3 linked regions of the Struthio camelus genome follow. The protein of the gene in region 3 purifies or fractionates together with the protein of the main gene of each other region. This does not show direct contact. Links are inferred from orthologs where the notes say so. Each region holds a gene or a part of one and is shown on either strand. Other genes may lie near its edges. The genes, in order: HECTD1, NCAPG2 and SMC2.

Region 1 (7,606 bases), on a different chromosome or scaffold from region 3:
TATGAAAATTCACATGAAAGCAAATAATGTTGTAAAAACGACTGAGGCAATTCTTATTTAATAATCAGCTAACTGTAGTCTTATTTGAAAGCTATTTTTCCTCATATTAAACATTAGAGAACAGTCAAGTTTTGAAGGTGAGGTATATCGGTGAAGTCTATTCCGGTGCTGTATGCAGGGAGAGTTTGAAACAGTAACTTGGGCATGTCACTTCCCGTTATACATTTCAAGGGAATACTCTCTGACAACTGCTGAAAATAAACTGCATGTCCGTTCAGCACGTGAAGTAAGTGTCAATCAGACTATGAAGATATATGTTGTAAATAAGAAGTATATATATAATCTGTACAGCAGAAATTATATAGTTAGCATGTTATTCCTTTCCTCAGATTCAGTTTCGGGAGAAGGAATCTCATAATCAGGAACACGGATCACAAACAGATGAATTCTTAAGTACTGCAAACGTATCACAAAGAACGCAGTTCAGGCTCATGACTAAGGCAGTAAAAAATTTCTTGATACACCTCCTTTAATATAAAAGATATTACAGGATATTTCACATTGGGTAATTAATGGAGGAGGACATGGAAGTATTTATGCTTCACTATAAGTTATACTTCACTATAAGTGTTCACTGTTTGCAATTGAAAATTATTATTTGTTTTGGGCTTCAGGAGAAATTCGTAACATGTTGCTTTAATTGAAACCCTTCTTCACCATAAAAGGCATAGGAAACCATTCTAGGATTATGAGACAGGAGTAAGGTCACTTAGCGCATGCAGCTCTCACAAGTTTGGCCTAATTTTTCTGCTTCTTCTGTACCAGTGAAAGTGAAAGAAGATCAAGCTTCTAAATTTAAAGACTGCAGTCTCAGTTTTCCTAATGCCTCACGTCCTTAACTTTAAGCATATAAGAAGTCCTGTCGACCTCAGAAGGACAAACATGCATACATAAAGGATACACATATAAGTCTCGTCAGGATTGGAACAAGCAGCCATTAAGAGAGACATAATACAATAAGACACAAAGTCTAAGCCGCCTTAGAAACCAGAACCAGAGAAGCCAGCTATTGTTTTTGGATTCAGAGAAACGATTCAATAAAGTTAAAGCTTTCTAAAGGTACTATTACAACACCAAACCATAAAGATTTCTGCATTTTTTAAGTCTTACCCGAGCATGACTGCTATTGCCTTTTTGTTCACTGTGTCGTTTGTTTCCTAATTACAAGAGATGTCTATGATGTGTGCAGGAGTGACATTCAAATGTACAATAATCTTATTTACTGTACTTATATTAATAGGCTTTATGTAACTACAGTCCTTTAAAAAAGGCATGTGATTCTACAGAGAAAACTGTTTTGAAGGTCTTCCCCTGTCTTGGGTTCGTCATAGTAAATGCGTAGCAGTTTGCCTCCTTTAACTCTGGGGCGTACGCAGAATAGCAGTGCAGGTTTTGGCAGCATGTGTTGCAGGGGGTGATGCTCCGCTGCAAAACCTGCCATAGACTGAATAATGCGGTTGCGATAGCTCAAAGTCCCTACCAGATAATGGCAATTTACAGCTTCCACCCTGGAAGAGCACGAGCGCTGTGTTTAAAACCACTCGTCACTGCCGTTTTTAATAGAGGAGGTGCTGGGTGTGGATTAAAGGGGCCCGGAAAGGACAAGCCTAGCTGCACAGTACTTTTATAACCGCACTTTTACAAGCCGTGTAAGAGTACTTCGATACTGTCACAGAAAGAGCACTATGTAAAACAGAGTGCTGTATCGAGGGACTTAGCCAAAAAACGCCAGGGCGTGAAAAGCTCTTTAACCCCAGAAAACTGCCCGGGCAGCTCGGGGCCGGGCCGGGCCGGGCTGAGGGAGCCCCCGCGGCGCCCCGGGCCCGGGGGCAGCGAGGCGCCGCGAAGAGGGGCGGAAGGCCGAGCCCACCGTCACGGGAGAGGGGAGGCGGGCGGCAGGCCGGGAGCGTGCGCGGGCGGGGGGCGCCGGGCCGGGCCGGGCCGCGGCCCCGCTCCCGCAGCGCCCCCAGCGGCGGCGGCGGCGGCCGGCGGGCGGGCGCCAGCTCCGCCCCGAGGCGGCGGCGGCGGCGGCTGGTTCCCCTCCTCCCGCCAACCCCGTGGCGGGCGGAGCGCCATGGACGCCGCTCGCGGCCGCCTGCTCCCGGGTTCGGGCTGCCGCCGCCGCGCCTCTCCCGCCGTCTCCCCGCGGCACTGAGGAGGGGTCGGCTCCGGCGAGGAGGCTGCGCGAGGCCGAGGTGAGCGGCGGGGAGGAGGAGGCGGAGGAGGCGGCGGCGGCCTCTTGCGCTCGCTACGGAGCGGCGGCGCCTTTCCTGCGCCGCCAGGCCGGGTCACCCTGCGAGGCCTGCGGCTCGCCGGCAACTCGAGCGGCGCTGCCCGGCCTGGCGGGCCGGTGCCGCCAGGCCCCGGCGAAGCGGGCCGGCGGGGCGGCCCGCGCGGTGGCGGCGGCGGGGCCCGGGGCGGCTTTCTTCGGCGGGCTGAAGGCGGGGGCAGCGCTGGCGCGCAGCCCCTCGGGCCGCGGCGGCGCGGGGGCTGCGCTTCCCCCCGCGGCTGGGCGGCCCCGAAAATCCCCGCGCGCGGCCTGGGGCTGGTGCGCGCTGTAGGCCCGAGAGGCCGCGGGGCGGTGGGAGCCTAGTTGAGCGGCGGCCTGGCCCCGTTTCTGGCCCGCGTCTCCGGGGAGCCCCCGTCGCTTGCCCTGCTCTGTTTTCTCTTCGGTTGCTCGTTTCGGGCTGGTTAGAGCCCGTCTAGGGCGAAGGAACAGCAGCTGCCTGTATTGAACTTATCCGGCTTCCCCCGGCTCTCTTAGTTTCCTTGCCTCTGTGGCCTTCACCCCTCCTTCGCTCCCCCTCCCCGTGCTTCCCCCTCCCCCAGCGCCAGTTGGCGATCATTATTTTTTTGCTTTAAAAACATGTACTACACCTGCAGTACGAACCTAGTTGTACTGGATGGCATCAGTTTTCTCTAGGCTCAGAACAAAATGTAGTCTCTAAACAGCGGAGAGGATCATAAGCGTTGTTTGAAGCATAAAAACGAACTTAATAATATTTTAATTCCTTTTAGAATTTGCAGTTTAGAGATGCTGCAGCAATAGTAAAACACATATATGGGGCAAGCAATAATTGGGTGAGCTGTAATGTTCTTATCGCCCTCAATGATAAAATGAAAAATAAAATCACATTTGACATACTTTTTGTCATGTCTTTGGGTGACAAAGCTTTCGTATTGCTGAATCAATGTGTATCTCTCCACATAATACAGACTTGTGATTCCCTTTTGTAAATTCCTTTGTGCCCTTGATGAAGTTATTTTTTAACTATTAACTCGTTAGCAGCAAGTAAACATGCAGGCAGACTTTGTCCAGATCAAGCTTCCCCTTCCCTGCCCGCCCCCCCCCCCCCCCCCCCATTTTGTGAGGACACTTTCCAGCATTTTCATATTCACCTTCAAATTTGATAAACTAATTTTTTTTTATAAGTCGTATACATTCAGTTTTTTCTTTTATGTTTAATTTGGAGAGGTTGATTAGTAGCCCCCCTTTTTTTTTTAGTTTTTATATGAAATTAATAATTGTAGTTGTTCCATTCTTTGGCACCAGAGGTGAATTTGACTGTGTGTTAGTAAAATACAAAGTAACAAATAAGCACATAGGTCAAAAATATCTCCTAACGTTTTAAAGGGACTTTTTTGGTCTTCAGCTTGCATGTACAGCTATGGCATTGGGCCAACAAATAATGTTATTTTCCTTATATGTGCATGAATTATGTGAATTATTCACTGTATTTCTTAAAGGCTGTCAATTAGATATGTTTAAAAAAACAGTAAAAATTTGAAGTATTTCTTAAATTAGCTTTTTTCTCCTTTGCCTTAAAAGGCTTATTCTTGTTACATGTTATTTGAAAAGGTGAAGAAATCATAAAAATCCTGCAAAAATTCTCTGAATCTCAAATTATAAACTCTCAATTTATATTGTTTTTGTTTTGTGGATTTTTATTTAAAAAAAGCCTGATGTTTTATATTTGAATACTTGAGTGATGACATAATCTTTAGGAAAGTGAGACACTTTATCATAAGATGATACTTTAAAAAAAAAAAAAGGGAGAGGAGGAGGAGGCAAGACATAACACTATTTGTCTTTGTATTAGCTCTGAGAGTATGAAAATGACTTAAGCATAGTTTTTCTACTAAAAATTTTAATTTCGAGTTATCCTCTGTATCATAGTGGACTTTAAGACTTGGTTGATTGTCAGCTGGAACTAGAGACCTTTTTTCTATTTCATTGGAAACAATAATTACTGTTTACTCATGTGTAAAGTTTAAAAAAACAAGCAAAAAATAAGCAAAAAAGGGGAGGGGGAGGATCCTTTTTTTTAATCTAGAACACATGGAAATTTCCTTAATTTTGGCCTGAAGATATGTGATAAATTTCAGAAAGGAACAAATCTGAAAAGTTTAGGCTAAATTTTGATAACGTGTATTTTTTTTTTCTTCTTTCTTTCCAGGTAAAAACTGCAAAAGCCTGAGGCTGGCTGAAGAGAGACGTTGATTGTACTCAAGTTAGTCTGGCTTGAACAATTGAAGGATATTTTTGGTACTTTTAATTTAAGCAGAGGCGGCTTTTTTTTTTTTTTTTTTTTTTTTTTTTTAAAACCATGGCAGATGTGGACCCAGACACGTTGCTTGAATGGCTGCAGATGGGGCAGGGAGATGAAAGGGATATGCAGCTAATAGCACTGGAACAGCTATGCATGCTACTTCTGATGTCGGACAACGTGGATCGTTGTTTTGAAACGTAAGTAATTTTGCCATTCATTTATGGAATGTTGTTTTTGTTTCTCAGCAGTTGTGTATGAAATTTAACATTCCTAGAAGCTTTCACAGTCTTGAAAATGTTCTTACAGACCAAACTTAAGTACATATCACAGAAATGAGATATGAGTTCCTGTTAGTGTTGTTTAAAGTAATCTTTTCCGATTAAAAACATTGTCTCATGTGGATGATCACGTCCCAGAATGGGCATTGCCTGTGTGATTGTTTAATTTAAAGAATTATATTCAGAGTCTACAGCCATATTCCTTTTGCAGTGTGGAAATTATTTTTTAATGGTACGGAAGAACTTTTTATAACTTTAAAATTATAATGATCGCATATACTTAAGTATCCATACTCTTACAGAATGTTGCTCTCATCAGATATAGTTGCTTTTTCTGATAGCTGCAAATCAAAAAACCCTACAACCGTTAGCCAGTGTTCACACAAATATTTTGCCCCTTCCTAGAAGAATGTTGCTGTTCATGCCGCCCTCCTGCCCAGCTGTAATTAACATTTGTACACGTTATACAGCACAGCCTGTGTTCTCACTCCTTTTTATATATCTCACTATACAAAATGCTGATGTTACAACTTCTGTTACTTAATATTATTGCTCTGTATTAATGTGCATTTGTTACACTAATCTTTGTAGGGGTGATTAGTGTAGAAAAGAGAGAAAGGAGTAGTGCAGAAGTGTAAACAGAGCTTTTAAAACTTAAGTAGCAGTGAATACAGTGGTTTATGTTCTTCCTTAGTTCTTTTTTTAATCTCTTTCCATATCTACTCCTCTTCCCATATCTACTCCCTAATCTAGTATCTCTTTTATGTCTTTTTCCCAGATCATGTTTTGATTCTCTTCTGCGTCTCTCCACTTTTCCATCTTTTCTTTGTTATTCTGACTTTTCTTTTGCATCTCACGGTGTGGCTAGAGTCTTTGTGATAGGCCCTGTTTCTTAGCGGTGTGGGTTGAAGATCATTTAAGAATGTAACTGGTTGTTACAGTGTTTATTTCCATAGCCCTGAAAAAGAGAACAGCTTCCAAGGTTCACCTCTTAAAAGCCGTTCATGATTGCTATTAGCACAAGAGCTCTAAAATTCATGCATCTTTAAAATTAGAAGTTGTAGTAGTTACGTAACAGTGACCACAGTTTTGTACAGTGCTTTAAAGTTTGAAATTGGCTGGCATTGGCCTGAAGAGTGTACAGGTAAAATTGTGGATTGAAAGAGGTTTGCAATAGGGAGATGCGTTTGACTTGCCTATCTGTCGCTTGTAGTACTGACACTGATGCATTGCTATATTCAGGCTAGGAAAAACTAATTTACTGACTTCTTAATTTGCCTCTATAGAAAATAATTTGACAGTTGTTTAAGAATAACTTTTTAATGTTATATCTAAGTGGACCTTCTTCAGTCTGTGCCATATTGAACAAAAGTAGAGGTTTGGTCATAAGCATTTGCGAGGATATCTTTTTGTATATGAAAATCAGGAATGAAATGTTAGCTTCTTAATATAAAGCAGTTGTAGTTTTTATGCATTTGATTTAGAACAGACTTTCATCATAAAATAAATTAAATAGTTCAAATGCTTTTTTGTAAAACTACATATAATGAAGGGTCTATTATTACAAGGTTGTGGTTTTAAAATTAATTTTGATGTTTGAGAGGAGAAGCACTTAAAATACCATTTGGCATTTTAATTTTTGTTGTGAGCCTTGTTAGGTATTTAATTTTACTGGTGTTCCTAGGATGCTGATCTTTTTTATTGTTGGAAGCATCCCTCAAAGAAAGAGAGAATAAAATGTAGATAGGGAAAATGTTGTTATGTTTCCCTGGCTTATGTGTGTGATTTTTACAATCAGGTTAGAAAATGCTACTTTTAATTGGCACTTTGAATACAGTGAAGGTATGGTTCCACTGTATGTGGTGAGCTGACATAATAACTTATTGCCCTAAAAAGGGAGAGCTCCTTCTTCCCTCTTCCCATCACTCTCCTTTTTTCATTTCTCGCAACCGTGTGCTTGCTTCATGCTGGCATTAGTGCTTACTGGACTCCTTTAACTCACTAAAACAGCGAATTACTCTCTAAACCCACAAAAGAAGCTGGACAGTTTTGTGCTGTTACAGTGAAGTAAAGCAGATTATGCACAGGCATCTAATAAGCACGGGAGGTGGAGCTGCATAACTGGCAACATGGAGAGGCAGAGAAAGGTACGCTTTCCAGTGGAGAACTTTTAGGTTGTTTCAGCTGTCTATGGTATCACAACCTGCATTTCAAAGGGACTCTATTTGAAGCCCTCTGTAAGAAATAGACTGTCTTGAAAAATATTTTAAAAATCTTTTCCAAGCGATAGTCCAAGTAGCCAACACAGGTACGTGCTGAGAGAGTGTAACTAAAATAATCCTTGATAGTATACTAAAGTTGCTTTTTGGCAGTGTTTTGAAATTGCTTGCCTAAATAGGATATTTACTCTGAAGTGACTCTGACTGAAGTGTTGCCAAATGCTCTTTTCAAAAACTGATCTTGGAAATGGCTTTGGTGTATGCCTAATTTATAATGTAGACATTTTTCTGGTGGTAAGAAACCAATTGCAAACTTTAAAACATAATTTGTTCTGTTCAGCGAAAAGAGCATTCCCAAATTTTTGTATGCTAGGCAGATGTTATTTCAAGATCTTTGATTTGTTCTTTGCTATTAAAGATGGTGGTTAAGACAACTAGGAAGACTTTAATCTGTTGAATTAAACAACTGGGAAATGTAATAATTTTAAAAAGTCACTTT
Region 2 (7,646 bases), on a different chromosome or scaffold from region 3:
TTGCTAGCTTATGCACAAAGCAAACCAGGCATGAAGCCTCTAGGAAGAGCATGGTACGCTTCTGCTAAGTTCCTGATCTGGATTAGGAACGTGGGGAAGGCCAGTCTCCCAGCCTTGACAAGATCTACATTAACATAAGGGAGAAATAAATGTTGGTGCCTTAACCAACCAATGTAAAATAGTTTTATAACTATATATACATGTATATACACACAGATGTATGCACACACATATATTCATATATATTTATATAAGAGAAACTATTTTCATATATATGTGTGTGTATTTATGTGTGTGTGTGCACGTGTAAATTTATATAGAGAGAAGCAAATCACATCCATTCTGACATTTGTACAATGTATTCATGTTTTATACTAGATAGATGGAACAGTGATCATCTCCTATTTGATGGATGTCTACCACAATGAAGCCTTTAAGAGTGCTTTTAAAATTAATAGCAGTATTTATATACTTTACAAATGATTCTTCTCTTTATCCATAAAGCCTAAAATAGAACAAGGGTTGAAAGGAGACAAAACGCTTCCATGAGCTGTTTATCTCTAATGATTCATACTGTTAAAATCAATAGGATTAAATTAATTTAGACAGAGCAGATGTGAATGTAGCCTTTTGAATGTGAAAAAATAGACAAACTAGTATTATAAATTAACTCAGTGATACATGATATTCTGAAAGATGCTCGTGATTTTATACTAGAAAATGTTCATTGTAGTTATAATGAAAAAAGTGATACTCCTTGTTTGAAATATTCAATTTTTTTTTTTTATACACAGGTTTGCCTGTATTATATTTACAGTAGAATGAATTTAGCCGTGAAAGTGTTATGTAAGGATAATTTATTTTTGTTGGCATTTTACAGCATTTCAGAAGTCTCCTTTTCATTTGCATGGCACTAATCGTTAGCAGAGTAAAATTACTGTGATTTGTAACACCACCTACAAGGAAAGAAGTGTAAAAGTAAGAGCATGAACAAAGTTGGACTGAAATTCAACCTGGCGGGAAAAGCCCGTAAGACACCCAGCAGTACCAGCTAATTCCCACAGGGTGGCAGTTCAGTACTTCAGCAGCATCTAGAGTTACTCAAGGGAGCAGCTAGTCAGAAAAGCTTTTGCATTGCCTGTGAGCGTTTTATTTCCTTATATTTTTGTCGGAGTTAACAAGGACTTTTTTTTTCCTTCTGTAGTAAATGTTTTTTTTTTTCCCCCCACTTAATCTCTTAAACTCTAAAATCGTTTCCTGTTAATATTAATAATTTAAAGGAAGTAAGCAGTTTCAAGGTCTAATCACGCCACCATCGAAAACTGTCAGTTGCCTTTGAATAAAGGATGGCATGATTGACAGTATTACCTTCAGGCAAGGGGAGATCTGGAGAAGTAGAATAGCGGCAAACTTCATCTCTCTCCCATGCTGTTCAGATTATTTATCAAAGTATATGAAGATGAAAAAAAATCAAGGGAAATGAATGCATGTAAATTATTAACAGCCTGCCTCAGAGGATGAGCAGATTTTGTGGCTACCGTATTAACTATAACAAATTATATTATATATTCAAAAGAAAGGAAATGGGAGTAGCAATTCTAAAAGGTTAGCATATAACACATACAATGATCTCCTCAGAAACTATTATCTAGAAAATAACACTGTAAATAGGAAATAAAAATAACATAAATGTCAAGAAAGCACCTTGACACTCAGGGAGTAACTTGTTTATTTTTACAAGGATTTATAATGTTGAATCATACAGGTTAAAATAGAATATTTGATATAGTCCGAACTACGAGATTCTTGTGAAATCCATTTGTAATTGAGATCTGTTATACAGGCCACTGACAAGAAAAAAGAGTAGTTTATGATGAAGCAGTAGTACAAAAGCAAATCTTTATTTGCTGTTGCTCAGCAACCACGTGCGGAGGGCCCATTTTTCATTTTCACTTTAACTTGACTTGACAGGAAAATCATAATAAATACGAGATTATTATCAAAGGATATAGATTATTTTGAACAGATGAACAGACATGTCAAAAAGAGGCATGTAATTTAGTAGCTCTTGAAAGGCAGAAGATTAGGGAAACTGAAAATAGGGTTGTAGCTTCATTACTGGCTTACGGTTCATACACAATTCTTCCAGCCCTCCTCCCCAACCCCGAAAGACCCTACCAAACTCTATTCTGCATCTCTGGTTTCTCTACATGGTTCTTTAAAATGAATCTTTCAGTGTTACTCAGCCTGCTGTTATTTGTGTCAACTTTTAGTTTCCATAACATGAAAGAATCATTCCGTGGTTGCTATGCAACACAAGTCATAAGCTAAAATATGTTTTAGTTTGTTTGCTAAATGGATGTGTGCCCGACTAAATAAACAGTAACCAGGTGACTAATGTAGCATCTAATTAAAGGACTAATCAAGGTATTAATGAAAAATTCAGTCCACACGAGATAAGATAATCAAATCCATCAGTTCAGTTCTAAAATGCCAAAGATTTGTAATATATGCAAAAAGGATAGACATTAGCACAACAAATGTCCGTTTTCATACTTTTTATTTACTTTTACTACCGTACAAGCATGATGATTGCTCCTACAATGCATTTCAAGCAAACTGTTTCATGGCCTTCTTGCCCTTAGCTGACTACATAACTTAAACAAAAAAAAAGCAGGTCCATCAGATCTGAAATAACCCTGATCCTTCTTCCTTCTTTCCGCTGGAGCAGCAAAAGGCTCCTTTTGTGGGGGTGGGGGGCTGCTTCTGGAAGGCGATGCCTGCTGGCTGTCTCTGCCTAGGGCTGTAGGACAGATCCTATTTCAGGTGATCGTCCCAGAATCTCTCTCCTGGGACCCTTCTCTGTGGTTGCCAGTAGGTAGATGCTGGCAGAGATGCTGGTAGATGCTGTGGAGAGAGATATGTTTATTTAGATGTGGGAGAAGAGAAGGGGTAGCACTGAATTGTCAGCATGGGGAAGAGACGTTATGATGCTCAAGAGTAGTCTCCTGGCTGCTAATTCCTTCTGCCATATTGTCCCTTCCTTGAGTAGATGACCAACTTAATTAAAAATTGCAAATAGTACAACCCATTCTCCAATTGATGCTTACAGTAATTTTTATCTGGCAAATAATTGCTTTATCTGGCAAAGAAGCTTTCTTCTAAAACCCAATGACTGCAGAAGTTTCACATACATTCTGCTAATGATTTAGGAATTTAAACAGCTTTTATCTTTGTTTTCAGTAACATTAGTCATCTGTTACAAACATTTTTGAAGCAATATAGAAGAGCATTAATTATACAGGATAAGCACCAAATAGATTTTATTTTTCATCTTGTAGTTTTGAAACTATGTAAAAAAAACAGTTAAAGAGCTTACTCAGAAAACGTCAAAAATTAAAACAGGAAGTCTTTCAGTCAAACATATATGGGAGAAAACGTTACTGTTGCAGTTTTGAGACATAGCAAGATTAAAGTGGATTGTACATAAAAAAGAAAAAACATTACCAAAAAACATAACTATTTCTTCAAAAAATAGTGATTTTGTACATATAATATTCTTAATTAAATGAAATCTGAATCTGATTTTGCTTTTTAAAATTACACTCTGGAAAAGTTCAGTCAGATGTGAGAACTCTTCTAGAAAGCGTTGATTCTATTTTTTGTTTGGAAAGCAAAGCAGCATATGCAGTACTACAGTCATACACTCAAAGTAAACAATTCCAGTCAAGCATCTAATTCTTCAGAACAGCTAAGAATGCTGGGAAATATTGAAAAATATAATGCTACTGGGAATGTAAAACTGAAAGATATAAATTAAGCCCTTAACGAGACAAAGTGACTATTTCCAGTTTGTAGAGGAGCTCCGACAGGACAGCGAACACAAGAGAATTGAAAGCTGTTCATGCTTAATTCAAGGAGCTGAGTCCAAACACTTCTGCCCACTGCAAAGTAAATTTGAAAAGAAACAAAAAGCACCTATTTCCAGATAGATTTTAAAAAGTAAAGCATTGTCAAACTGTTAATATCTTCCGGCCCGCATACTTCCCCATACCTTCTGCTGGGTAACCTGCTTAGCTTTTTGCTGCTTTGGATGACAAGTACATAAGGCCTGTAGTAGTGTTCACTGTGACCGAGATTGAAAGCGTAGCTGTCAACACTAGCCGTTAAGAACATTTTCTGAGAAAAAGCCAATGTAATCAACTGGATGCTGAGTGCTTTCTGAGTAAATAGCACATGTTTTGGTAAGAATACTGTGTCACTGCCACCCCAGATCCATGGAAGAAGGCATGCTGTTTCTTCAGCATATAAATGAATTTAATTAAACGTGTCTTATCCCATTTTGAAGGGGTTGTGAGTTATGAGATGGCTGCAGGAAGACAACCGTAGGCTCGTACGTAGATCTACACCTCGCCAGCTTCTTCGCAGTAACCGATCCGTCGCCTCTTCAGTGAAGGAGGGGGAGGGCAACTAACTAACGGCTGCGCCGGCGCGCGGAGAGGGGCGGGGCCGCAGCCACGCCCTTCCCGCCGCGGCGCCGGGGCCCCGCCCCGCCCCGCCCCGCCCACGGCCGGCGCGCGCCAGCGCCCCCGCCCGCTCGCAGTGGGGTTGCGAGGGAGGGGCGGTGGGTGAGCTCTCGCGAGACGGGAGCGGCGCGCGCCCGCCTGCGCCCAACGGTTGCCGCGGGAGAGTTCGAAACCGCCGGGAGAGCGCGCGGCGGCGGCGGCGTGTCTGTGTGAGTGCGAGCCCTGGGCGGGCGGGCGGGCAGGGCGCCGAGGCCGGGGCAGGAGGGCTGAGCGAGGTGCCATTCCGTCTCTGAGCACCCCCCGGGGCTGGTGCCTCGTCCGGCTCTGGGGAGAGGCGCGTTAGTGGCGCGGCGGTTGCACGGACACCATTTTCTTGGGCAGTGCTGCTGGGATACTCGGGCTTGCGCTCCTTTGCTTCACTGCATTTAAATAGTGAGGTCGCCTTTTTTGTTTTTCTCCTGTGTGAACAGCCAGAGGTTTTTGGAAGCTTTACCTATGGATCCATGAGGATTTTTTTTCTGTGATAGTGCCAGGTAAGCCGCCCTGGCAACTTGCCACTTACTTCCTCTCCTGTTCGGGGTCGTACAGCGGTCTGTGGGGCCATGCAGTGCGCCTGGCAAAACGTAAATTACTAGTTAATTTGGATCAGTTCCTCATCATCCAGATCATGGCTTCACAGACGGGCACGTTTGAGAGAAAGCAGCAGAGGCTGTGTAAGGTCGTCTTACAGCTGATAGGGGTAGGAAAAGCTTCTCAGGAATCACTTCGGATGGAAAGTTGCATGTGAGTTAAGCTCTTAGTGTTAACAAGTGATCTTGCCGGTTTCCCATGGCCTTTTCTTGACAAGGCAGAGAAGGAGGGAACCTTTCCAATAAGTAAATGCTGCTGCCTGGACTGATGGATAGCTAAATAGGGGATGTGTGCTAGAAAAGTTATTCTTGTTAAAAGTGAAAGCATCAGTTAAAAAATTTACTTTTAAGACTCTCCTATTTAATAAATAAAGGTATTAAAAACACTACTTACAAATACTAGGGTCTTGTGCAGTTATGAATCTAAACCCTATAAATCAGTTTAAGGGGAGGAAGAGTGTCTTATAATGACTTGGATGAAAAATGTGAGTTTTTAATACTTTTTAAATACATTTTCATTGGGTCCAAGAAAGATCTTATTGTGAGATGCAATACTCTTCTCTAGTGTTTTTTTCTTTTAGGTTTATAACGCAAGGAAAAGAAGGACCATAATGAAGCGTGAAGCATTTTTACAAGTTGTGTCTAAGGACTCAATTGAAGAATTCTTGCGTTTTACTCAGATTCCTGTAAGTAAACCACGATACACGTTCATGACTAAGTCTATTAAGAGTGCACAAACTTTTTGTTTCAGAGGGGCAACAAAATTTTTCTCCGATACTTTTGTATGTGCTAGAATAATGGCAGGTAGGCAGATATAGTATCACTGTTGCAAAAAATGGCACTTAATGGAGCATAGTTGAAAAAGTTGAGGAATTTGAAATTTTTCCTGTGTTGTAAAACAGCCTGTTTTTTAATACTTGGTTGTTGTATATAGCTTGCAGTTTTAAAATAATGATTACTGCAACAATAATACTAGAAAATATTCATCTGATACTGATAAAGTTTTTTTTTTTTAAATGTTGACCTGTAAAAGAGTAAATTTGTTGCTGTATAATCAATGCGAGCTAATATACAGGCATAGCAAAGGTATGTTTCATTAGCATTTGTTCATCGGTTTGATAGTTTAGGCTCTCTACTTCTTTTTTTGTTAATATACAATTGTATTTAATAGTTCTTTCTATCACTAAATGTTCTAGAGATGTGATAAAGAGTCATAGATTGCTGCCTCTAAATGTAGTATGGAGAGAAGTAGGGGGAGGAACAAAACGAATCCAGTGAAATCTACTAATTAAAAGTTCATTCTCCTTTTGTGCATGCAATATCAAAAATAACAATTTGCATTGTGGTATTTTCCACTAAGTTTTAATCTGGTATTAAGACATGCTAGTTCTCCTGAACATCTCTTGCTAACCTTAATAGATGATATTGTCATGTTTGTTTCTTAAGTTTTCTCTCTAGCAGCCTCTCTGTTCTATTATATAAAGTACAATATTGTGAAGAGAGGATCTTGAAGCTTTTTCTACTTTACTGTCTGTATATATTGAAAGCTAAAGATATACATGTTTATTTTTAAGACTTAGTTTTAATTCTACAACTTAAAAGGCTTTGTCAGATATCTCTGCTTTTTTACGCTAACTTTTTCTAATGCTGCTTCACTTCTCATTGTTTTGCCAACATCCCTATCTACCTACCTTTTATCATCCTCTTTTAGATACTAATAAAATAACACATAGATCTTTATTAATAAAGTCTTTTATTCAGTCTCAACTAGTATTTGTTTTTGTCTTTTCCTGATCTAACCAGTATTTTCCTTATGTTCCCTTTGTCGGGATAAAGTAAGTGGTACAGCTGTACTCTGTCCATCAGGCCACCAATTAATTTACTAATGTAGTATAGATATGAAACCTATCATGTTAATTTACTAATGTAGTATAGATATGAAACCTATCATGTCTAGAGAAGATATCATGCACCGCGTAATAAGCTTAGAATTGTTTGTCTCCTAAACCTCATTTAGAGTCTCTTTGTCTAAGTATTTTGTGAGCTTTTCAGTTGCGCTCCTGTGTGTAACTCTAGATGACAACTTTATTAGCAGATTGCCGTTGTTTGAAATCTCCTCCTTGCCATTATTTTCCCACTTCTCCCCAAATCACTTTGAAAATAAATTATCCTGTTTAGGATAACTTAGGATACTTCCTAAGCTTCCTTGCTGATGGTCATGTTGTTTCTGCCTTCTCCGTTCACTAACCTATCTTGACATACCTCTTGGTCTGTTCAGATTAAAAATTGCTTTTCCATCCCTATACCTTGAAGAACAATATGGTGTGTGTATCACTATTTTTCATCGCCAGTTCACAAGAGTTGTCTTGCAACTGTATACAGCTATCTTTATTGCTTGTGAAACTGAATCACTGCCAAAAGAGAGCCCTTTAGTGTTTTTAGAAATAAAATGATTGATTTGTCTATTTTGCCACAGATTATTAGCCTGTAT
Region 3 (7,757 bases):
GGCTTGATATTATGACAACATAAGCTGCAATGAATTACAAGAACCAAAACCTGAGCAAATCCTAGCTATGTGTATACATATACACAAGCATACCGCACAGAAGAGACTAGATCCTGCTAGTGTGAAAAGGTGTTTAAAATACCTTACGTAAAAGTGAGAGAGTCATCAAGGCTAATATTTTTACTCTTAATTGAAAAAAAAATTTCCAGATTTCACAAGGTGTCGCAGCCTTTTACCTGGGTGATGTTTTCATCAGAAAAATAAAGGTTTCTATGATCTTAGAAAACAAATTTAACTTTGATGAAAGCAGAAGAGAAAAAAAACACAGAAGAGAAAATTATAACTTGCTTCAGGAACTTTATTCCATTATTATGTTTCTATGTAAGTAGAAAAAAATTATTAACGCATTTAAAAATTGGAATTACTAAGGCAATTAATATTATCTACTACACTGGATCTACTTTGATACTTTCTGTTACTAACTTCATTGCAGAAGCACTGCTTTAACTGCAAAAACTCAGGGGCTTGAAAAAATTAACTTTTTCTTGAAAGTCACTCTGTTGAGAACATCAGAAGTGTATACAGGTTTCTGAACAAATACAGACTCACCTGCCTAGTGACAATAATCTCATCGTTAGCTTCAAATCCCAATGGACTTTGTTTCTTGTCAGAATTATCAAAGGTGATAGAAACGGTTGCTTTAGTAATTCCAGCTTGCCCATTTTTATAAACTAGGTCCTGCAAGTTGGCAGCTCGCACCTAAACACATGAAACAGATCTATGCATTTTTTTTTTTTTAAATAAAAATCGTTATACAGCTTCAGTGTGTACAGTACTAGTGGTGTAGGTTCTGGAGAAACGAATGAAAAACGTTGGAATTGTAATGTTGAAGATTCAGTTAATGGGGAGATTGAGATGTGGGAGTTGCAAGACGTTAGTACTGTAAAACCACAGGCGTGTGCCAGTCTAGTTTTAGTCAGCTAGCTATTTGTTTCTGCATGAGACTCCTAATAAAAACCTGAATGTCTATAAAAAAATTCATATGTCTAGTTAGTCACCAGTATCTTTACTTAAAGAACATTTATTATTCACTATACAGTTCACGGGGAAGTCAAACAGAAAACTTTCCTTGCAGTTCTCCTAGAATTCCGGGGGGGGGGGGAACCACCTGAAAACAGTGGTTCAAATTTACCTCACAATACAGCCTTATATAGAGAGTAAAGCAGATATATCAGCTTTTAAATAGCAGATAGTCCAAGAAAATCTCATTTTTATTTTTTTCTGATGAACTAGTGGTCAAATTTTAAGACCTGCTTGAGAAGTATGAATGTTTATTCCAAATAAACAAGCTTAGGCCTTTAGCTATTAAAGAAATCCAGCTTTAAGCTGCTTCCTTTTAACTGGGTATTTTTATTCTAAAGTTCCAAGTTGCATACTTTATGCTGTTGTATTATATTGACAAAATTGTAGTTTAAACTTAATGCAAGAGTGAGAAATAATGATAAAATTCAGCTTTGTGTCCTGAAAAATCGGAATAAATAAAATCATTTTTTGGACAGAAGTACCACATTAGGTCCTCCAATAGAGATTAATCAAGAAAATAATAAGAATAAAGTCACTGGCAGAAGAAAGATCAACCCACCCCCACCTCTTTACCTGAGATAGGTTGGCGATGCCCAACAGGAAACAGATAGAGTCCAAGATGTTGGACTTGCCACTGCCATTCAGCCCAGTAATGGCATTGAATAATGGATCAAAACTGTTGATTTCTGTCCTCTGAGCATAGGACTTAAATCCTTCAATGATAATTGATTTGATGTGCATGTCTCTATGTCCCTAGAGAACAAGGCCAAGTGTTCCTCCAAGGGGTATGAAGAAAGATTTCTGAACTATAATCCTGTGTACTACAAAATAAGGAAAAGAAGAAAATAAATCATGCTACATTCCTGAAAAAAAAAAAAACTAAATTTCTAATACTAAATGAGCAATGAGTATGCCTGGAAATGACATGCAATTTTATGCCCTTTAAGTACCTTTTTTTTTTTTTTTTTGGCTGTGAAAGGTGGACCTCCGATTCAGGATGCATCCCAACAATAAACTGTACTTTAAAGGGCCTAAGCAACATGATTCTATTCAGTTTGCATCATGATATTTGTATGAAGGCCGTGGCATAAGAGTTTTCTCGCAAAGTTGGAGGTTATTTCATCAGCCAAAGAGAAGGGGGAGGCTGGAAGCTTTCAGAAGGCAATAAAAAGACAGCACCCCTTTTAAAAGGGGCAGCGCCGAGGGGGCAGCCCGCGGAGCTCTTACCAGCGCCCAGCTCCACCGCTGCCCCGCCGCCCTCCGCACCTCGCCTGGAGAACTGAAACCCAGGAATAAGTAGATAAAAATCACGAGGACCTCAGAGACGAGACTGCCTCATCTCTGAAGCGCCGCGAAGACAGCCCCCGCCCGCCCGCCCCGGCCGGACACGCAGCGGTGCCTGCTCCCATCTCGCCCGCGGCGCCGGGGCTCCCCACAGCCCCGCCGGGGCGGCTGCCGAGCGGGTCCTCGCTGGCGGCTCCAACGGCCAGGGGAAACGGGTGCCCGGCGCACCTGCCGCGGGGAGGTGGGGGAAAGCAGCCCCACCGCTGGCCCCAGCCTCTCGTGGCTCACCGTCCGCAGCGCTCCCAACGGCCCGCAGCGCTCCCAACGGCCCGCAGCGCTTGAATTTTGGCGCCGAGAGGATGGGCCCGTTCGCGGCTGCCCTGCGCATTGCCTGTCTCAAAGTCGCCCTGCTCCTCCAGCCTCCCCCTCCAGAGGGTAAAGCGGAAAGACTAGGTCCCGTCCTTGCCGAAAAGAAGGAAGGAGCACTCCAGAGACGAGGGTCTCGGCGTCGGGGGGGATAGCGTACACCTTCAGGTCAGAACAGGCAATCGCGACGGGCGGGCGGGCGCGCTCCGGGTAAAGCCCGCTCCGGGCGCGGGCGCGGGCGCGGGCGCAGGCGCGAGACGGGGTCCTCGCGGGGCGGGGCGGGGCCGGCGGCCGTTACGTACCTGAGGCGGGCGGCGGCGGCGGCGGCGGGGGTGCGGCCTCCGCCTCCGCCTCGGCCTCCGCCTCCGCCTCGGCCTCCGCCTCTGGCCGTTGCAGGGGCGGGGTTGGTCTCGTCTCGACTCGTTTAGTCTGCTGACTAGGGAGTCGAGACAAACCTATTTGTTCAAAGGTCTTTGTTTGGGGATATTTAGGTATGTTTTTTTTCCCCTTCCCTTCACCCCCGCTAAATTTTCCTATTTGGCTTTGAGAAGGAATGTCTATGCAGGCAGGGTAGGCCAGCAGCTTTTGTGGCGTGATCCTAGCTCTGGTGGCACAAATAGTAATACTGACCCCTGAAAAACGTGCCACGGTGCGCATAGACTGATACCTGCATAAGCAGTAGCTACTATGCGGACTTTAAAAGGAAAAATAGAGGTGTTGTTAGAATGTTCTTCTTCCTCACAACAAGGAGATTTTGAGACTTCAGGTAGGTTCCCAAGTGAAATGGACACAACAATTAGCATAACGTGAGGAGACGGTGAGTTGGGGAATTAATTTCAAAAAGCTATTCCCACTTCAGGTAGAATTTGACAAGAACGTGGAGGGCTCGTAGTTGGCTTACCAGCAGCTGTGAAAAAGCAAAACCAAGCAAATGCTCTTATGTTAAAGTTGAATATATGTTTCTGATACTTAAATCTTCAGAATTACAACGTAGGGTTTTTTGTGTAAGTAAAGGAAGCTATCAGTAGCAAATATTTACAATACAGGGCTAATGCAGGAGCAGTTAGTTGTGGAGCCTGAATAACTGCAAAACTGTTAAAATGAAGAAAATTCAGTTCTGTTCCTCTAAAAAAAAGGAAAATGTCTGTTTAACTCATTTGTTGCAATTTGCAGAGAGGGTGTTTGCATTTAAGAAAGAAGCCTACTCAAAACAAATTTCAAAATGGTTCATTTTAGGAACAGTAGCTCTTAAAATTGCAATACAGTTACATTGATCAAAACAGATACTTAGACCAACTAAATGCATTTACCTTTCCTGAGATGGCGGTAGTTAGGCCGAATGCTTAGATAGGTTATTTTGCAGAGGATGTTCCGTATTGTACTGTCAGCTGGGCTTTAGTGTTACCACTGAGATCCAGGGAGCTGTTGTGATGATTGCACTAAATTGTCTAATCTATAGTCAGAGGTTATGTTTTAATCAATGGAAATAATGCAGGCTACAGGTGTACATTACAGGGAAATATTTTTTTCTTTGTATACTCACTCCACTTCTGGAATTATTTCTGATGCAGCTTGGTTATTGCATATTGTGTAAGGCGTAATTGTGACAGCATTGATTCTGATAGTACTGTAACTAGGAGGCACTTAAGGATGTCCTAACAGCTTCTTATTTGCTAACATCTGGACATCATATTGAAAAAAATATTTTAAAGTATGGGGAAAAATCAAAATGGGACTCTGTAATTTTGCAGTCATCATTAAAAGCCACTTCTATTTGGTGATCTGAAAGTTAGTCATACTCAAGGCAAAAGTTGCCAGTTTACAGTCTGCAGGAAACGTGCTTGCACTGTTGTGATGCCTGAGGCCTGACTAGTTACTGTGGGAAGTAGGTCCTTGGGCTAGCCTGCAGGTGGTACCTGGTTGTGCTTCAAAAGACAGAAATGATTGCTGAGTGATGGCTATCTCCAGGGTTGGTTGAGGAGCCAGTGCTGCAGTGGTTCTGTCTACTGTTTTGTCCTACCAGCCTAGCTATAGCCTGAAATAAGCAAACGGAAATAAAGAAGTGTCATTTCTGAAATGAGAGACTTTTCTCTGTAAAGATAACCAGTATTTATGTTATGTATGGGCGGGGAAAGTTCACCCGTTATCAAGTGGCTATGTGCTAGCTTTATGGCCTATTAGTCTCTAAAAGCTGGATACTGTATTTTAGAGTAAAGGTAAAATGCACTATTTTAATAATAGTGTTGAATTTTAAGAAGAAAACCATACTGTTGCTATTTAACACTTGTACCTAACAAACTTGAATATAGCATGTGCATTGAGGAAGGAAAAGTTATCATTTGCTTATCTAGGAGACTTTTTAGTTTTTGTCGTAACACTATAAAGCAGATTATGCCAAATCTATAACATCATTTTTAACTCTGAAGTCACAACTGATATTCCACAAAGGTAAAAACTTCATTAATCTTACAATGGGGGAGTGCAAACGGGAACAAAGGTCAAACGCCAGACCAAACATTAAGCAGGAAATTTAGAAACTGTGGCCTTCCTGTCAGATAACTGCAACTAAAGGTTATGCCTAATCTAAGCAAGCTGAATGCTCATTAGATGTTTTTTTCCCCTCCGTGGTGGTATGGCAGTGAGATGGCAATACTGTTAATTCTGAAGACAAGTTAACATTACTTTTTGTGTTCCTTTAAAGACAGAAACCATTTCTACCACTACTAGTATGTTGATGCAATTTCTCTGGTGTAGTACTGATGCTTTTGAGTGGAGAAAATTAGTTCCAGTGCAAATGATGGGTTTCAGCAATCTAATAGGTCTAACTGAGTGAAAAAATCTACTCTACATATATATGTGATTAAGACATGCTTTTAGATACCAACTTGGCAAGGTGTATGAGCGGGAGTTTCATGATGCAAAAGGGTGGGGAAATATCGGATGGCGCTGTGTCTAGTAAATGAGCATAAAAATCTGAGTGAGATCTTAGAGAAATGAAAAGTGATAATCATGTACTAAATCTCTAAGTAAATTAAATTTAACTCATTCTTTCATAAATTTCACTCACACTTTTATACCCACATACTCAAAAGCAGCAAGTTGTGTATGCCCAAGTGGGAAAGCAATCTGGAAGCCAAAGATAGCTGCAGAGCAGGCAAAGGCAGCATCCTTGGCAACAGTGCACAGTTCCACATTTTAAGGTTGCATTGCTCATATTGTTTGTGAAGGTAGAGTTTCACGAGTACCAGTGAATTCCTTGCTGTTCCTACATCAATAAACTACCTTCATCATTGCTTGATTTCAGCTACATGAACCAAGCTGGTTTTCTGTGGGCTGTTGGTTGCTCTGGCATTTCATTAGTGGACACAGCAGGAAGGCTGGCTTTCTGAAACAGTCGTGTGGGCTTCCACTTCCTTTCTGCTCTTCCCTCCCTCCACCCCCTGCCCCGAAGCCTTGAAAGGAAAAGGAGAAGATGCATCAGGTGGCTTCTCCTGAAGGTGGCCTGGTTTTCCCGCTGGCTCAGCTGACTGTCTTTTAGTTGTGGTTGAGGCGGTGGTCTCTGTGTTTTGAAGGGAGTGCCTTGTCTTCCGACATCTTTGCCTTTCCTTCCTTTTTGCTACTCTTCCCAGTAGTCATCTGCTCAGATTCTGTGAATTGTCAGAGTAGCAAGAAGGCAGTAGTTCCTACCTGTTTGGATTTGGCCTCTGCTGTTTTCACTTGGCAACTGGGTAGCTACAAGCCCTGGGAAATGCCTGGAAACGTAATGTAGTGGGGTGGAGGAAGGTTGTGCGACTTTGGGTATTTGGCCGGAGGCTCTGCTTGGGGTGTTCCCTTGATGACACTGCATGGGATTTTCTTTCAATGGAAATTGGCGCTGTAAGCTTCAGGGCTGAAAGAGAGAGAGAGAGCTTAGGTGAGCCAGAGGTTTGTAGTCTGTCAGCATGGCGAGAGAGCTGCTGAGCACACGTAGATATGGAGGAGTGACTGCTTCTGCCTTTTGCTTTGTTTCTTCATAGATGGTTGAGGGTGGAGGAGGGCAGGAGGAAGGAAAGATTCCTTGGGAGACAGTGTGGAGAAGTTGGTGGCAATTAGAGTTGGTCCTTCCATGCTGTATTTCTGGTCTCGGGAGAGGAAGAGGTAGGCACCTCCATGCAGCAACCAAACTCATGCCAAGGGAAGTCAGAAATGACCAGCTGACCTTTGGCCAAACTTTCCAAGTTGGAGAGGAGGACAGTGGAACTATGGCCATTACTATAGCAGTGGAACTATAGCATTACTAGCTGCTGTTCTCGTGACCTCTCGTTTTGGATTTGACCTGTGTTCCTCCCCTGCTTGCAAGATTTACAGGAAGGGATGGGGTGAGTTGCTGTCTTCCCTTGGGCTCTCCCCATAGATACTCTGTGGTGTTCAGGCCTGCCCATGTGTCACCCACGTGGAAAGGAACCACAGCACTTCCAACTCTTCTCAGCTTGCCTTCCTCCTCCACCATGGTAGGCCAAGCTCCAGTGTCTAGCAGTCTGGCCTAAGTGAAGATGGAGAGTTGGGGGCACGAAGACAGTGGTTACAGCATATACTTTGCATCACCAAGGAGCACTTGGAAGTGCAGCCAGGGCTTTCCCTCACCCGTTGACTTGCTTCCTGGAATACATTATCCTGACTTAGCAAGACTGGACTAGGCCATGGCCAGGAGAGGATTAAGCAGGTGCCCCCACACTGTCCCTGTGGGGATTGTGAGGAGGCATGGTGAGGTGAATGCTGAGTGAGCACTAGGACTGAGCATCCCCACTGAGCTGGGAGTGACTTGAAAATGTGATAATCTGTTACTCTGATAGTCATTCACACTAGGTGCCCTGAACAGTTTTAGGCGTAATTTCTCTGAACCTGAACAGGCAAAGGTTAAGAGTGTTGAATTGTTGCAGAGGAAGGGTTAGCTCTGTGGTTACATCAAGAGTTTCATTCATCAGAGAAACACAACCTTCTAAGTCAGTGGGTGGCCGGTTCAGCAAGCTTAGGTGAGCTAGGAT

What was found.
Region 1: the proteins of SMC2 (region 3) and HECTD1 purify together in Homo sapiens (affinity purification with mass spectrometry; 3 studies listed by BioGRID, with this or other methods). This does not show direct contact. The link is inferred for Struthio camelus from reciprocal best matches to the Homo sapiens genes SMC2 and HECTD1.
Region 2: the proteins of SMC2 (region 3) and NCAPG2 purify together in Homo sapiens (affinity purification with western blotting; 4 studies listed by BioGRID and IntAct, with this or other methods). This does not show direct contact. The link is inferred for Struthio camelus from reciprocal best matches to the Homo sapiens genes SMC2 and NCAPG2.

What each region holds. Positions count from the first base shown.
Region 1 is NC_090946.1:53,376,795-53,384,400, reverse strand, and holds the start of HECTD1 (E3 ubiquitin-protein ligase HECTD1), read left to right. Parts: upstream 1-4,568; 5' UTR 4,569-4,667; coding exon 4,668-4,807; intron 4,808-7,606. UniProt on the Homo sapiens protein: E3 ubiquitin-protein ligase which accepts ubiquitin from an E2 ubiquitin-conjugating enzyme in the form of a thioester and then directly transfers the ubiquitin to targeted substrates.
Region 2 is NC_090943.1:11,770,043-11,777,688, reverse strand, and holds the start of NCAPG2 (condensin-2 complex subunit G2), read left to right. Parts: upstream 1-4,639; 5' UTR 4,640-4,735; intron 4,736-4,996; 5' UTR 4,997-5,059; intron 5,060-5,720; exon of another isoform or gene 5,721-5,736; 5' UTR 5,737-5,766; coding exon 5,767-5,841; intron 5,842-7,646. UniProt on the Homo sapiens protein: Regulatory subunit of the condensin-2 complex, a complex which establishes mitotic chromosome architecture and is involved in physical rigidity of the chromatid axis.
Region 3 is NC_090982.1:17,319,347-17,327,103, forward strand, and holds the start of SMC2 (structural maintenance of chromosomes protein 2), read right to left. Parts: upstream 3,047-7,757; 5' UTR 2,656-3,046; exon of another isoform or gene 2,596-2,655; intron 2,363-2,595; exon of another isoform or gene 2,311-2,362; intron 1,905-2,310; 5' UTR 1,825-1,904; coding exon 1,657-1,824; intron 760-1,656; coding exon 610-759; intron 1-609. UniProt on the Homo sapiens protein: Central component of the condensin complex, a complex required for conversion of interphase chromatin into mitotic-like condense chromosomes.